Caenorhabditis elegans: one gene and its partner. The protein of the gene in region 1 interacts with the protein of each later gene in a pairwise test. Each region holds a gene or a part of one and is shown on either strand. Other genes may lie near its edges. The genes, in order: pph-4.1 and dnc-2.

Evidence for each region.
Region 2: the proteins of pph-4.1 (region 1) and dnc-2 interact in a two-hybrid assay, tested with the Caenorhabditis elegans proteins (2 studies listed by BioGRID).

What each region holds. Positions count from the first base shown.
Region 1 is NC_003281.10:12,345,129-12,353,367, reverse strand, and holds pph-4.1 (Serine/threonine-protein phosphatase 4 catalytic subunit 1), read left to right. Parts: upstream 1-2,031; 5' UTR 2,032-2,037; coding exon 2,038-2,138; intron 2,139-2,193; coding exon 2,194-2,317; intron 2,318-2,375; coding exon 2,376-2,501; intron 2,502-2,576; coding exon 2,577-2,855; intron 2,856-4,746; coding exon 4,747-4,988; intron 4,989-7,673; coding exon 7,674-7,803; 3' UTR 7,804-8,045; downstream 8,046-8,239. Other genes in the region: FAM172 family protein homolog Y75B8A.31, read right to left, coding at 1,039-1,158, 1,212-1,475, 1,544-1,720. UniProt on the Caenorhabditis elegans protein: Protein phosphatase which plays an essential role in meiosis and in early embryonic mitosis.
Region 2 is NC_003281.10:5,923,780-5,927,488, forward strand, and holds dnc-2 (putative dynactin subunit 2), read right to left. Parts: upstream 1,976-3,709; 5' UTR 1,953-1,975; coding exon 1,845-1,952; intron 1,788-1,844; coding exon 1,721-1,787; intron 1,676-1,720; coding exon 1,261-1,675; intron 1,211-1,260; coding exon 883-1,210; intron 827-882; coding exon 749-826; 3' UTR 619-748; downstream 1-618. Other genes in the region: C28H8.2 (uncharacterized protein), read left to right, coding at 151-519, 565-618; bcl-7 (BCL7-like protein), read left to right, coding at 2,307-2,372, 2,420-2,510, 2,733-3,016; zmp-1 (Matrix metalloproteinase-A), read right to left, coding at 3,247-3,601.

The DNA of each region.
Region 1 (8,239 bases):
AAAGAGTACTGTAGTTTTAAATTTTAGTTTCTGTGAAATTTATCGATTTTTCGTAGTTTTTCTAAATAAAAATATTTTTTAATCGAAAAAATTTAAAAAAAATCGCGAAAACTAAATTAAAAAAATTTTTTTCGATTTTTTTTCAAAAGATTAAAAAATATTTTTATTTAGAAAAACTACGAAAACTCGATAAATTTCACAGAAACAAAAATTAGAAATTACAGTAATCTTTAAAGGCGCATACCTTTTTTTCTTATTCCTTGAACACAATTTTGTCGTGGCGAGACCTGAAACAGGGGTTTTTGCCTTAAAAAATCGCGAAAATGTCGATTTTTCGCCAAAAAAAGCTGAAAATAGTTTAAAATCCCATTTTTATTCAAAAAATTCAGAAAAACAGGGATTTTCGCCTTAAAAATCCGGAAATATGTCGTTTTTTCGCTTTTTTTGCCAAAAAAAAAGCTGAAAATATATTAAAATTGCATTTTCCTTTAAAAAAATCAGAAAAACAGGGATTTTTGCCTTAAAAAATCGGAGAAAAGTCGTTTTTTCGCTCTTTTTTAGCCAAAAAAAAGCTGAAAACAGTTTAAATCCCATTTTTATTCAAAAATTCAAAAAAACAGGGTTTTTTTGCCTTAAAAAATCAAAAAAAAAGTCGATTTTTTCACTCTTTTTTGCCAAAAAAAAAGTGCTGAAAACAGTTTAAAATCGCATTTTTATCCAAAAACTCAGAAAAACAGGGTTTTATGGCTTAAAAATTCGGAAAAAGTCAATTTTTTCGTTCATTTTTAGCCAAAAAAAAGCTGAAAACAGTTTAAAATCGCATTTTTATTCAAAAATTCAGAAAAACAGGGATTTTCGCCTTAAAAATCCGGAAATATGTCGTTTTTTCGCTCTTTTTTGCCAAAAAAAAAGCTGAAAATAGATTAAAATTGCATTTTCCTTTAAAAAATTCAGAAAAACAGGGATTTTCGCCTTGAAAAATCGGAAAAACATCGATTTTTTCGCTTTTTTTTGCCAAAAAAGTGCTGAAAATCCCACCACACTGGCTGTGTCGTAACCACCACGACTGTGAGCCACCACGTAGATGCTCTTAGCATTCGATGGCTCAATACACGCTATCCAGACAGTTTCAGCGTGCTCGACAGGTGTGCGGGAGTACTGAAAATCGATTTTTCAGCGAATTTTTCGAAATTTCCCGGGTTTTTTCACACCTTCAAATCCTGATCTTTACTTTCATTCAAATTAGTGTTCATCACCACAACACCCCATCCATTTTCAATAGCTCTTTCGATATACGGAATCTGAGTTCCACACTCCAAATTATCATTGATAATGAGTCTACGAGCCCATTGTCCGGCTCTGACGACACCGCTTCCGTGGATCAATACTAGAAGATTTGCAGCTTTTTTGAAATTTTTCGACACAAAAATGAAGCTTAGATCCTCATCCTCGTCGGTTTTTCCTGGAAGTTTTAGCTGAAAAAAAATTTTTTTTTTTGATTTTTAAATTTTTTTTTCCATTTTTTAAAAATTTCTTAATTTACCGCCTTTCTCTTCAGCCCACAACGTGTCTCCAGAAGCTCATAAACTTCCAGATCAACTGCTTCTCCCAGTTCTTCATAATCCTCCTGTGTAGTGAATTTGAAGGGTTTTTTGTCCTTCTCCGTTTTCAGCACGCCTTTTTCGTCGAAAAAGTACCCGAGTTTCGCCAAACTTGACATTGTTCACTGAAATTTATTTGAATTATTCGCAAAAAAACTGGTTAGAACAGAGAAAATTTCCGAAAAAACAATTTTTAAAATTAAAAAAAAAAAAAAATTTCCTGGCCGCGACCGAGGTTTCTCTCGTCCACACGGCGCAATCGCGCTCTGTTGGCAATCTGGCACAATGCCAATATTACACTGAATTTATATTTTTGCACGAAAAACTCTGGATTTAAAGTCGATTTCGCCTGTTTTCATTGGTTTTTTTCGTTTTTTCGTTTTTAAATTAAATATTAATTCAAAAAATCGATTTACAACGTATTTTACAGCTTTTAATGGCTCTGGCGTGCACCGACTCTGCAAATTCCACATTTTCACGTGTCGACTCACCGACTTCCGGCCCATCGGACCAGCTAACAACTCATGACTTGGATCGGTAGCAGTTTTGATATAAAAACAATAAAATATCAACAAAAAAAAAATATTTTCAGCCACATAGAAAAGCTGATGAGATGTGAGCTCATCGCGGAGCAAGATGTCAAAACACTTTGCGCAAAAGCTCGTGAAATCCTAGCGGAAGAGGGCAACGTCCAGGTTATCGATTCTCCGGTGACGGTTGGTTGGATAAAATCGATTTTTAAATCAAAATTTCCATTTTAAATTCTATTTCCAGATCTGCGGAGACATCCACGGCCAGTTCTACGATTTAATGGAGCTCTTCAAAGTCGGCGGACCAGTGCCGAACACCAACTATTTGTTCCTCGGAGATTTCGTGGATCGAGGCTTCTATTCTGTGGAGGTGCCCCCGCTTTTTTGCAATTTTCCTGGCGAAAAAATTGCAAAAAAAACTCCCAAAAAATCGATATTTTTCCAGACATTCCTTCTACTTCTCGCACTGAAAGCTCGCTATCCGGATCGAATGATGTTGATCCGTGGAAATCACGAAAGTCGCCAGATTACTCAAGTCTACGGGTTCTATGATGAATGCCTTCGGAAATATGGAAATGCGTCTGTTTGGAAACATTGTACCGAAGTTTTCGACTACTTATCACTTGCCGCTGTAATTGATGGGAAGGTTTTCTGTGTTCATGGTGGATTATCCCCGTCGATTAGTACTATGGATCAGATTCGTGTTATTGATCGGAAGCAGGAGGTAAAACGCAAAAAATATGCTGTTTTTAATGGAATTTTGCTTTGAATTTCGGTTAAAATTCGGTGAATTACAATTTTTTAAATTTCCGGCATTTTGCCGAATTTGCCGGAAAGTTTTAAAATTTTCGAAAATGAAAATAACCGACAAATCTGCAAATTGCCGGAATTTAAAAATTTCCGGCAAATCAGCAAACCGGCAAATTTGCCCAAAATGAAAATAACCGGCAAATCGACAAATTGCCGGAATTAAAAATTTCTGGCAAATCGACAAACTGCCGTAATGAAACTTTCTGGCAAATCGACAAATTGCCGAAAATGAAAATAACCGGCAAATCGACAAATTGCCGGAATTAAAATTTTCTGGCAAATCGGCAAATGTTCGAATTAAAAAATTTGTGGCAAATTGGCGAAATTGAAAATTTCCGGCAAATCGAAAAATTGCCGGAATTAAAAAATTCCGGCAAATCGGCAAATTGCCGTAATTAAAAATTTCTGGCAAATCGGAAAATTGCCATGTTTAAAAATTTTCGGCAAATCGGAAAATTGCCGAAATTGAAAATTTCCGGCAATTCGTCAAATTGCCGGAATTTAAAAATTTCCGGCAAGTCGGAAATTTGCCGAATTCGCCGGAAAAACGGCAAATTGCCGGAATTAAAAATTTCCGGCAAATCGGCAAATTGCTGGAATTGATAATTTCCGGCAAATCGGCAAATTGCTGGAATTGATAATTTCCGGCAAATCGGCAAATTGCCGGAATTTAAAAATTTCCGGCAAGTCGGAAATTTGCCGAATTCGCCGGAAAAACGGCAAATTGCCGGAATTAAAAATTTCCGGCAAATCGACAAACTGCCGAAAATGAAAATTTCTGGCAAATCGGCAAATTGCTGGAATTGATAATTTCCGGCAAATTTCCGGAATTAAGATTTTCTGGCAAATCGGCAATTTGTCGATCATGAAAATAACCGTCAAATCGACAAATTTCCGGAATTAAAATTTTCTGGCAAATCGGCAAATTGCCGAAAATGAAAATAACCAGAAAATCGGCAAATTTCCGAAAATTTCCGTTTAAAAAAAAATTTCCGTTTTTTTCATTAAAAATTTTTTTTTTTAATTTTCAGACTTTTTTCTAATTTTTTCTCATCAAAATCGACCAATTTAATTTTTATTTCATTTATTTCGATTTTTTCCCCGAAAAATACTAAAAAATTCAAAAAATAGTCTCAAAATCAGAAAAAAACCACAAAAACGCGATTTTTGTCTTCAACCAATCAGCGATTCGCTCCGCCCACTTTTCAACCAATCAGATGGAGTGGGCGGAGTTTGAGTTCTCATTTTGGAGGGAATTCAAAATTGAAAAATCTTTTTATTTTTCTGAATTTGATACTATTTCGGATATTTTGAAGCGAAATTTCAAAATTTACGTTAAATTTTTCGAGAAATCACTTTTTTCCAGCGGGGCGAAGGTTTTGCAAGTCTGCGGTTTGCTATATTTCGATTTACGGAGAATTTTGTAATACACACGGACAAGCGTCGATTAATTTTTTAATTTTTTCTAATAGTAAATTTACAGTTTTGGGCCATTTTTGCCAATTTTTTTTGGTGTTCAACATTAAAAATTGGGTCCATATATATATATTTTTTGAATAGTGTTTACAAAAAAAATTACAGAACTGAAGAACAATTCGAAAAAAAAAAAAAAACGCTTATCCACGTGTAGCACAAACTCCACCGTAAATCGACAGAAATCAAACCGCGCCGCAGGTTTGCAAAACCACCGTTCCGCCTCAAAAATTGAAAAAAAAATCAATTTTTTAATCAAATTTTGTTCGTTTTGATAGAAAAACGTATAAATTTGTGCTAAAAAAGCGAAAAAAAATTCTGAAAATTTCCAGGTTCCCCACGACGGTCCAATGTGTGATCTACTGTGGTCGGACCCCGAAGAAGGAAATGTTGGATGGGGCCTAAGTCCACGCGGAGCCGGTTATCTATTCGGAGCGGACGCGTCGAAAACGTTTTGCGAAACGAACGGAGTCGATTTGATCTGTAGAGCTCATCAATTGGTTATGGAAGGATATAAATGGCATTTCAACGAGAAAGTGCTCACTGTTTGGTCGGCGCCCAACTATTGTTATCGGTACGGGATGGATTTGGAAAAAAAACGGAAATTTTTTTTTCGTGAAAAAGACGAAAAATTAAAATTTTTGGTCACTTTTTTATCATTTAAAGTATAATTTTTAGGAAAAAATACAATTTTTTTCTGAAAATTTGAATTTTCCCGCTAAAATTTGTTTCCAAAAAATTTAAATTTTCCCGCCAAAATTTGATTCCAAAAAAATTCAAATTTTCCGGCCAAAATTTGTTTCCAAAAAATTTGAATTTTCCCGCCAAAATTTGTTTCCAAAAAATTTGAATTTTCCCGCCAAAATTTGTTTCCAAAAAATTTGAATTTTCCGGCCAAAATTTGTTTCCAAAAAATTTGAATTTTCCCGTCAAAATATGTTTTTAAAAGAAAATTTAAATTTTCCCGCCAAAATTTGTTTCCAGAAAATTTGAATTTTCCCGCCAAAATTTGTTTCCAAAAAATTTAAATTTTCCCGCCAAAATTTGTTTCCAAAAAATTTGAATTTTCCCGCCAAAATTTGTTTCCAAAAAATTTGAATTTTCCGGCCAAAATTTGTTTCCAAAAAATTTGAATTTTCCCGTCAAAATATGTTTTTAAAAGAAAATTTAAATTTTCCCGCCAAAATTTGTTTCCAGAAAATTTGAATTTTCCCGCCAAAATTTGTTTCCAGAAAATTTAAATTTTCCCGCCAAAATTTGTTTCCAGAAAATTTGAATTTTCCCGCCAAAATTTGATTCCAGAAAATTTGAATTTTCCCGCCAAAATTTGTTTCCAAAAAATTTGAATTTTCCCGCCAAAATTTGTTTCCAAAAAATTTGAATTTTCCCGCCAAAATTTGTTTCCAAAAAATTTGAATTTTCCCGCCAAAATTTGTTTCCAAAAAATTTGAATTTTCCCGCCAAAATTTGTTTCCAAAAAAATTTACACTTCCCGCCAAAATTTGTTTCCAAAAAATTTGAATTTTCCCGTCAAAATATGTTTTTAAAAGAAAATTTAAATTTTCCCGCCAAAATTTGTTTCCAGAAAATTTGAATTTTCCCGCCAAAATTTGTTTCCAAAAAATTTGAATTTTCCCGCCAAAATTTGTTTCCAAAAAATTTGAATTTTCCCGTCAAAATATGTTTTTAAAAGAAAATTTAAATTTTCCCGCCAAAATTTGTTTCCAAAAAATTCAAATTTTCCCGCCAAAATTTGTTTCCAAAAAATTTGAATTTTCCGGCCAAAATTTGTTTCCAAAAAATTTGAATTTTCCCGTCAAAATATGTTTTTAAAAGAAAATTTAAATTTTCCCGCCAAAATTTGTTTCCAGAAAATTTGAATTTTCCCGCCAAAATTTGTTTCCAAAAAATTTGAATTTTCCCGTCAAAATATGTTTTTAAAAGAAAATTTAAATTTTCCCGCCAAAATTTGTTTCCAAAAAATTTAAATTTTCCCGCCAAAATTTGTTTCCAGAAAATTTGAATTTTCCCGCCAAAATTTGTTTCCAAAAAATTTGAATTTTCCCGCCAAAATTTGTTTCCAAAAAATTTGAATTTTCCCGTCAAAATATGTTTTTAAAAGAAAATTTAAATTTTCCCGCCAAAATTTGTTTCCAGAAAATTTGAATTTTCCCGCCAAAATTTGATTCCAGAAAATTTGAATTTTCCCGCCAAAATTTGTTTCCAGAAAATTTGAATTTTCCCGCCAAAATTTGTTTCCAAAAAATTTGAATTTTCCCGCCAAAATTTGTTTCCAAAAAATTTGAATTTTCCCGTCAAAATATGTTTTTAAAAGAAAATTTAAATTTTCCCGCCAAAATTTGTTTCCAAAAAATTCAAATTTTCCGGCCAAAATTTGTTTCCAAAAAATTTGAATTTTCCCGCCAAAATTTGTTTCCAAAAAATTTGAATTTTCCGGCCAAAATTTGTTTCCAAAAAATTTGAATTTTCCCGTCAAAATATGTTTTTAAAAGAAAATTTAAATTTTCCCGCCAAAATTTGTTTCCAGAAAATTTGAATTTTCCCGCCAAAATTTGATTCCAGAAAATTTGAATTTTCCCGCCAAAATTTGTTTCCAAAAAATTTGAATTTTCCCGCCAAAATTTGTTTCCAAAAAATTTGAATTTTCCCGCCAAAATTTGTTTCCAAAAAATTTGAATTTTCCCGCCAAAATTTGTTTCCAAAAAAATTTAAACTTCCCGCCAAAATTTGTTTCCAAAAAATTTGAATTTTCCCGTCAAAATATGTTTTTAAAAGAAAATTTAAATTTTCCCGCCAAAATTTGTTTCCAGAAAATTTGAATTTTCCCGCCAAAATTTGATTCCAGAAAATTTGAATTTTCCCGCCAAAATTTGTTTCCAAAAAATTTGAATTTTCCCGCCAAACTTTGTTCCCAAAAAATTTGAATTTTCCCGCCAAAATTTGTTTCCAAAAAATTTAAATTTTCCCGCCAAAATTTGTTTCCAGAAAATTTAAAATTTTCCCGCCAAAATCACGTAGTGCCAGAGTGTCCCATTTCGGTTTGATCTACAAAAATGCGGGAGAAGTGACGCACTGATTTTGCATGATTAAGAACGTGTTGACGTCACATTTTTTGGACAAAAAAATCCCGCATTTTTTGTAGATCAAACCCAAAAATTTGTTTCAAAAGAAAAATTGAATTTCCCGGAAAACTTGAGCTTTTTTTGCAGTAAAAAAAAACTTAATGAAAATTTTCCAGATGCGGCAACGTGGCGGCAATTCTCGAGCTCGACGAGAATCTCAACAAGGAATTCACAATTTTCGAAGCTGCTCCACAAGAAAATCGCGGAGCACCGGCCAAAAAACCGCACGCCGACTATTTCCTCTAATTTTTTCTCGAAATTTTCTCGAAATTTCTTTCTCGCCCAAAAATTCCGAAGAATCTCCCCCTTTTATATCGCCGAAACACCATTTTTTTCCTTTTTTTTTTGCTCCCACAAAAATATTTCAATATTTAATTATTATTTTCCACACACACACACACATTTTTCTGTAAATGTCCACCCCCCTCCAAATTTTACGGATTTATTTTTTTTTCGACAAAAAAAAGTATTAAAATTTATTTCATGCTATTCATTTTTAAAACCGATTTGATTTGAAACAAAAAAAAACAATTAACCGTATTTGGGGAGTGAGAAATGGGAAAAAAATAAAACATGAAAATGGAATTTTTCACAGAAAAAATCGAAGTAAAATACAATTGATTGGATAAAATGGGAAAGCTGCGACCAATCAGGTGGAGTGGGCGGAGTGGGCGGAGTTCAA
Region 2 (3,709 bases), 6.4 Mb from region 1:
ACCGTATACCATCATAGACGCTGGCGCTCTAGGACACTTTTCGATAAAATGACTTTTTTTTTGCTCAAATTAGCGAATTCTTTATTTAGCAGATTGTGGAAATTTATCAAGACTTGAGTTTTCATGTCGGGACCAACCGAAATATTTCAGAACTTTATCAGTGACCCACGATCAATGTTCCCGAAGATGGTGAGAACTAAAAATGCTTTTCACTTCTTGCAATATTTCATGGGAACTTTTCGACGAATGTTCCGAAATAAAACAGAAATGATTGAGCATTTCAATTATTATGATGATCAAGTAAAAGGAACTGATTGTCATATTCAAGAGGAATTGGATTTTGCCAGATTTAAATCATATTTCGATAGATATACAAGAACTCATTACAATCCTGAAATTCGTATTATCTTTGCAATAATGACTAAAGATTCTTCTCATATGACGGTTGAATTCCATGTTACATCACAATCTTGGTTTGGATTCGAAGATCATTTTCATATGATTATCAGAGCGGTTAATGTGAGTTTTCGCGAAAAATCTGACTTAGAAATATGAAAATTTCAGGACGAGAATGTCGGATGGGGAGTTCGTTATCTGAGTATGGCCTTCAATTGCTGAATAGAGATTGGTTCATTCGGAAATATGGAAAGCAAAAATAAAGCACATAAATATATCGAACAGATTAGTTAATGTTGCATTGTCCGTACACAATAAATTATGAATTGTTTCTCTAGAAAGGTCGATAAAATCACTTCAAATCTGCCACTTTTGCCTCGAGAAGCTTCAGCTTTTCAACCACTGACCCGATTTCTTGCTTTCCTTGGGACTGTAATTTCAATAATTTAATTTGTTTATATTCCTCGAAACAATTAAAAAACACACCTCATACTCGATAATCGCTTCTCTTCCTTGCGCGACTTCCTTTTCGAGTTTTTCTCTGATAGTTTTCAAATGTGATAGTCCACCGGCAAAGTGTTGAACTTGTTCGTGAAGACGGTTCAATGCTTTAACCTTATTAACATTGCTTGGAAGAGATGAGCAAGCGACATCCCATTTTTGCATAAGCTCCAGAATTTCATCAACTTTCTTGTCAAGATTCTCGTCGATATCATTGTTGGCGCGTGTCTCGTCGATTTTTTCAAGTTTGGTAAGCATCATATTCAAACGTTGTTCAAGACCGGAGACATACGAATGATTAAGCGTTTCGCATCTCAAACATTTTTCATACGTTTTTATTTTTTTAAATTTAAGATATCTCACCTGAGTTTGAGATCTTCAATGGTGTCAAGTACGGGAGCTGATGGAATAACCGAACTTCCAATAACTTGTTCGATTCTTCTCAACCTATTTTCAAGAGTTGCCACTTTCGAGTCAGTGCGAACATTTGGTAACTCAACATCATGCTCAACTCGTGCAGTTTTTCCATTTGACTGAGCCACTTGCAACGTTTTCACTTCTTTCTCTAGATTCTCAAGAACCTCAGCGTTGAGCAAATCCGTTTTAAGATTTTCATCAGCACGAATTTGTTCATTCAGATCGGCGACTTCGTACAAAATGCGATTCAGTTTTTCGGCTGCAGTCTCGGTTCCCGAAAATCCTGCACCAGTAACTTCCAATACGTATTGATTGTTTCCAAATGCGTGTCGCCGCTTTTTAGCAATCGAGTCAGAAAAATCTAAATTTAAAAAAAAGATGATAAGTAATATTATTTTAAAATTACCGCTTGAAGTCAAGTTCAGTACCCGGTTTTTGTACTTTTTGAGAGCTTCGTCAACGTCAACCGAAATCTGTAAAAATCAGAATTCACTAAATATTTATATTATTTAAATTAATTAAATACAAACCAGTTCGATATCCGGATGAGTTGGATTGTCATTTTCAGGTTCACTTTTTTGAACTTGACTTGCAGCTCCGTCAGACTCGTAGATATCTTCTTTTCCAATAGATGACATTTTGACGCAAGATTTGAGAGTTTCTAGAAAACAGAATTTGATTTAAAATATTTAGGATCAAACGGCAAAAATTTAGAAAAATGAATAAACAAAATGTATGATAGGTTAAAGTAATAAATCGTGCTAGAAACATCAAAATGGCCGTGGAATTGATTGCGAAACAAGTAAATTAGATTGTCCGAGAGGACTACACACAACAATGAGTTACTGCGCTCTACCGGCACGTATTAGAGATTAGAGGCGACAGAGTTCAGTTTTGGCAAAAACGTTCGATTGTTCGAATTTAAACAGTTTTATTGTATTTCGTTCTTTTTATTTATTTTTCTGTAAATTTATTAAATTTTTAAGTTTCAGATGTACTCAGCAAATAGATCTCATCGCGCTGAAACAAGAAATCGCTCAAAAGATGAACTCCGAAAGGTAAACAATCAACTTTTCCAAAACTAAACTGATATTAAGATTTTCAGGTTATCAACTCATTGGAAAAAGTTCGTCGGTGGGAAAAGAAGTTAGTTCTTATCAAGGACACAAATATTCGGATCTACAAATGGGTTCCGGGTAATTTTTTATTTTAACACGTATTTCGGTATTTAGAAACTATTTATATATAAATTTATATGAAATACTTTTTTAAAATAGTAATTATTAAAAAAAAAACTTCACACTTATATTTTTGATACAATTCAATGACTCTGCATTATGAATTAATAACATATTCTGCTATATAAAAGTTTTGAATTTCTCAAAAAAAAAACCAAACTTTCAATACAACTTTTTCAGTGAGCGCTCAAAACATAATGGCTCCTCCAAAGATCAAGGAAGTCAAAGAAGTGGATGAGGAGAGCAATCAAGTCCCATCTGCTGAGAATTCCCAGGATTCCACCAGCGTTACCCAACCACCACCACAATTCGATATCAACGAAGATTCCAATTTTTCCACTGGCGATCACTTTGATAGTGACTCCAATCAAACTTTCGAGCCACAAAACTATCAAGGTGGAGCCACTGGTTCAACGGATTTCAGTTCGATGCGCGACGCTGAAATGACATCAAAACAACCATAAAATCTTTATCTAATGATCTCTAATCTGTACTCATTTTGATTTCATGTTGTATCATATAATCCTGATTCATTCCGAACTTTATCTCATTAATTCAAAAATTTTCATGTTTCATCACATTTATTTTTAATAATTTTTTGTATTCACCAGTTAAAATAACAAGTTAAAACTTTAAATAAAACCCATTTCAGTGCTGTTTTTACAAGTGAATCTGCCATTGAGAGATTTAAATCTTAAAAGATGAGTATCAAAATAGTAATTGTTGCATAGATCAAAGAAAAATGTGAAGAAGAAGAATTCAGAACAAGCTTCTCATTGCGAGGGCAGAATCCGAAAAAAGATTGTAAAGGTTGGGGATATCCATCAGCAATATCAAATACAGATCGGGATGAATTCATTCGAAAAACTTGATTTCCACGTAGAAGATGAATTTCTTTTTCATAAGTGAAGGCAGAATGTACTCCTTTTGGAACTCTCGCCCAATTCAGATCAGTATCTTTTGGATACCTTTCATCAACTCTTCGATGATACATTTTCTCGTCTAATTTCCAATATCGAGATCCTTTCCAAATGTATACAGCAGGCGGACTGAAATGGAAATTATATTTGATTTTATTAAGTTGTGGTCCTGAACGAACCTTTTCAGCTACCGTACCCTCAGAGTAGTTTCTCAAAATGTATTATGTACCGTCTTTT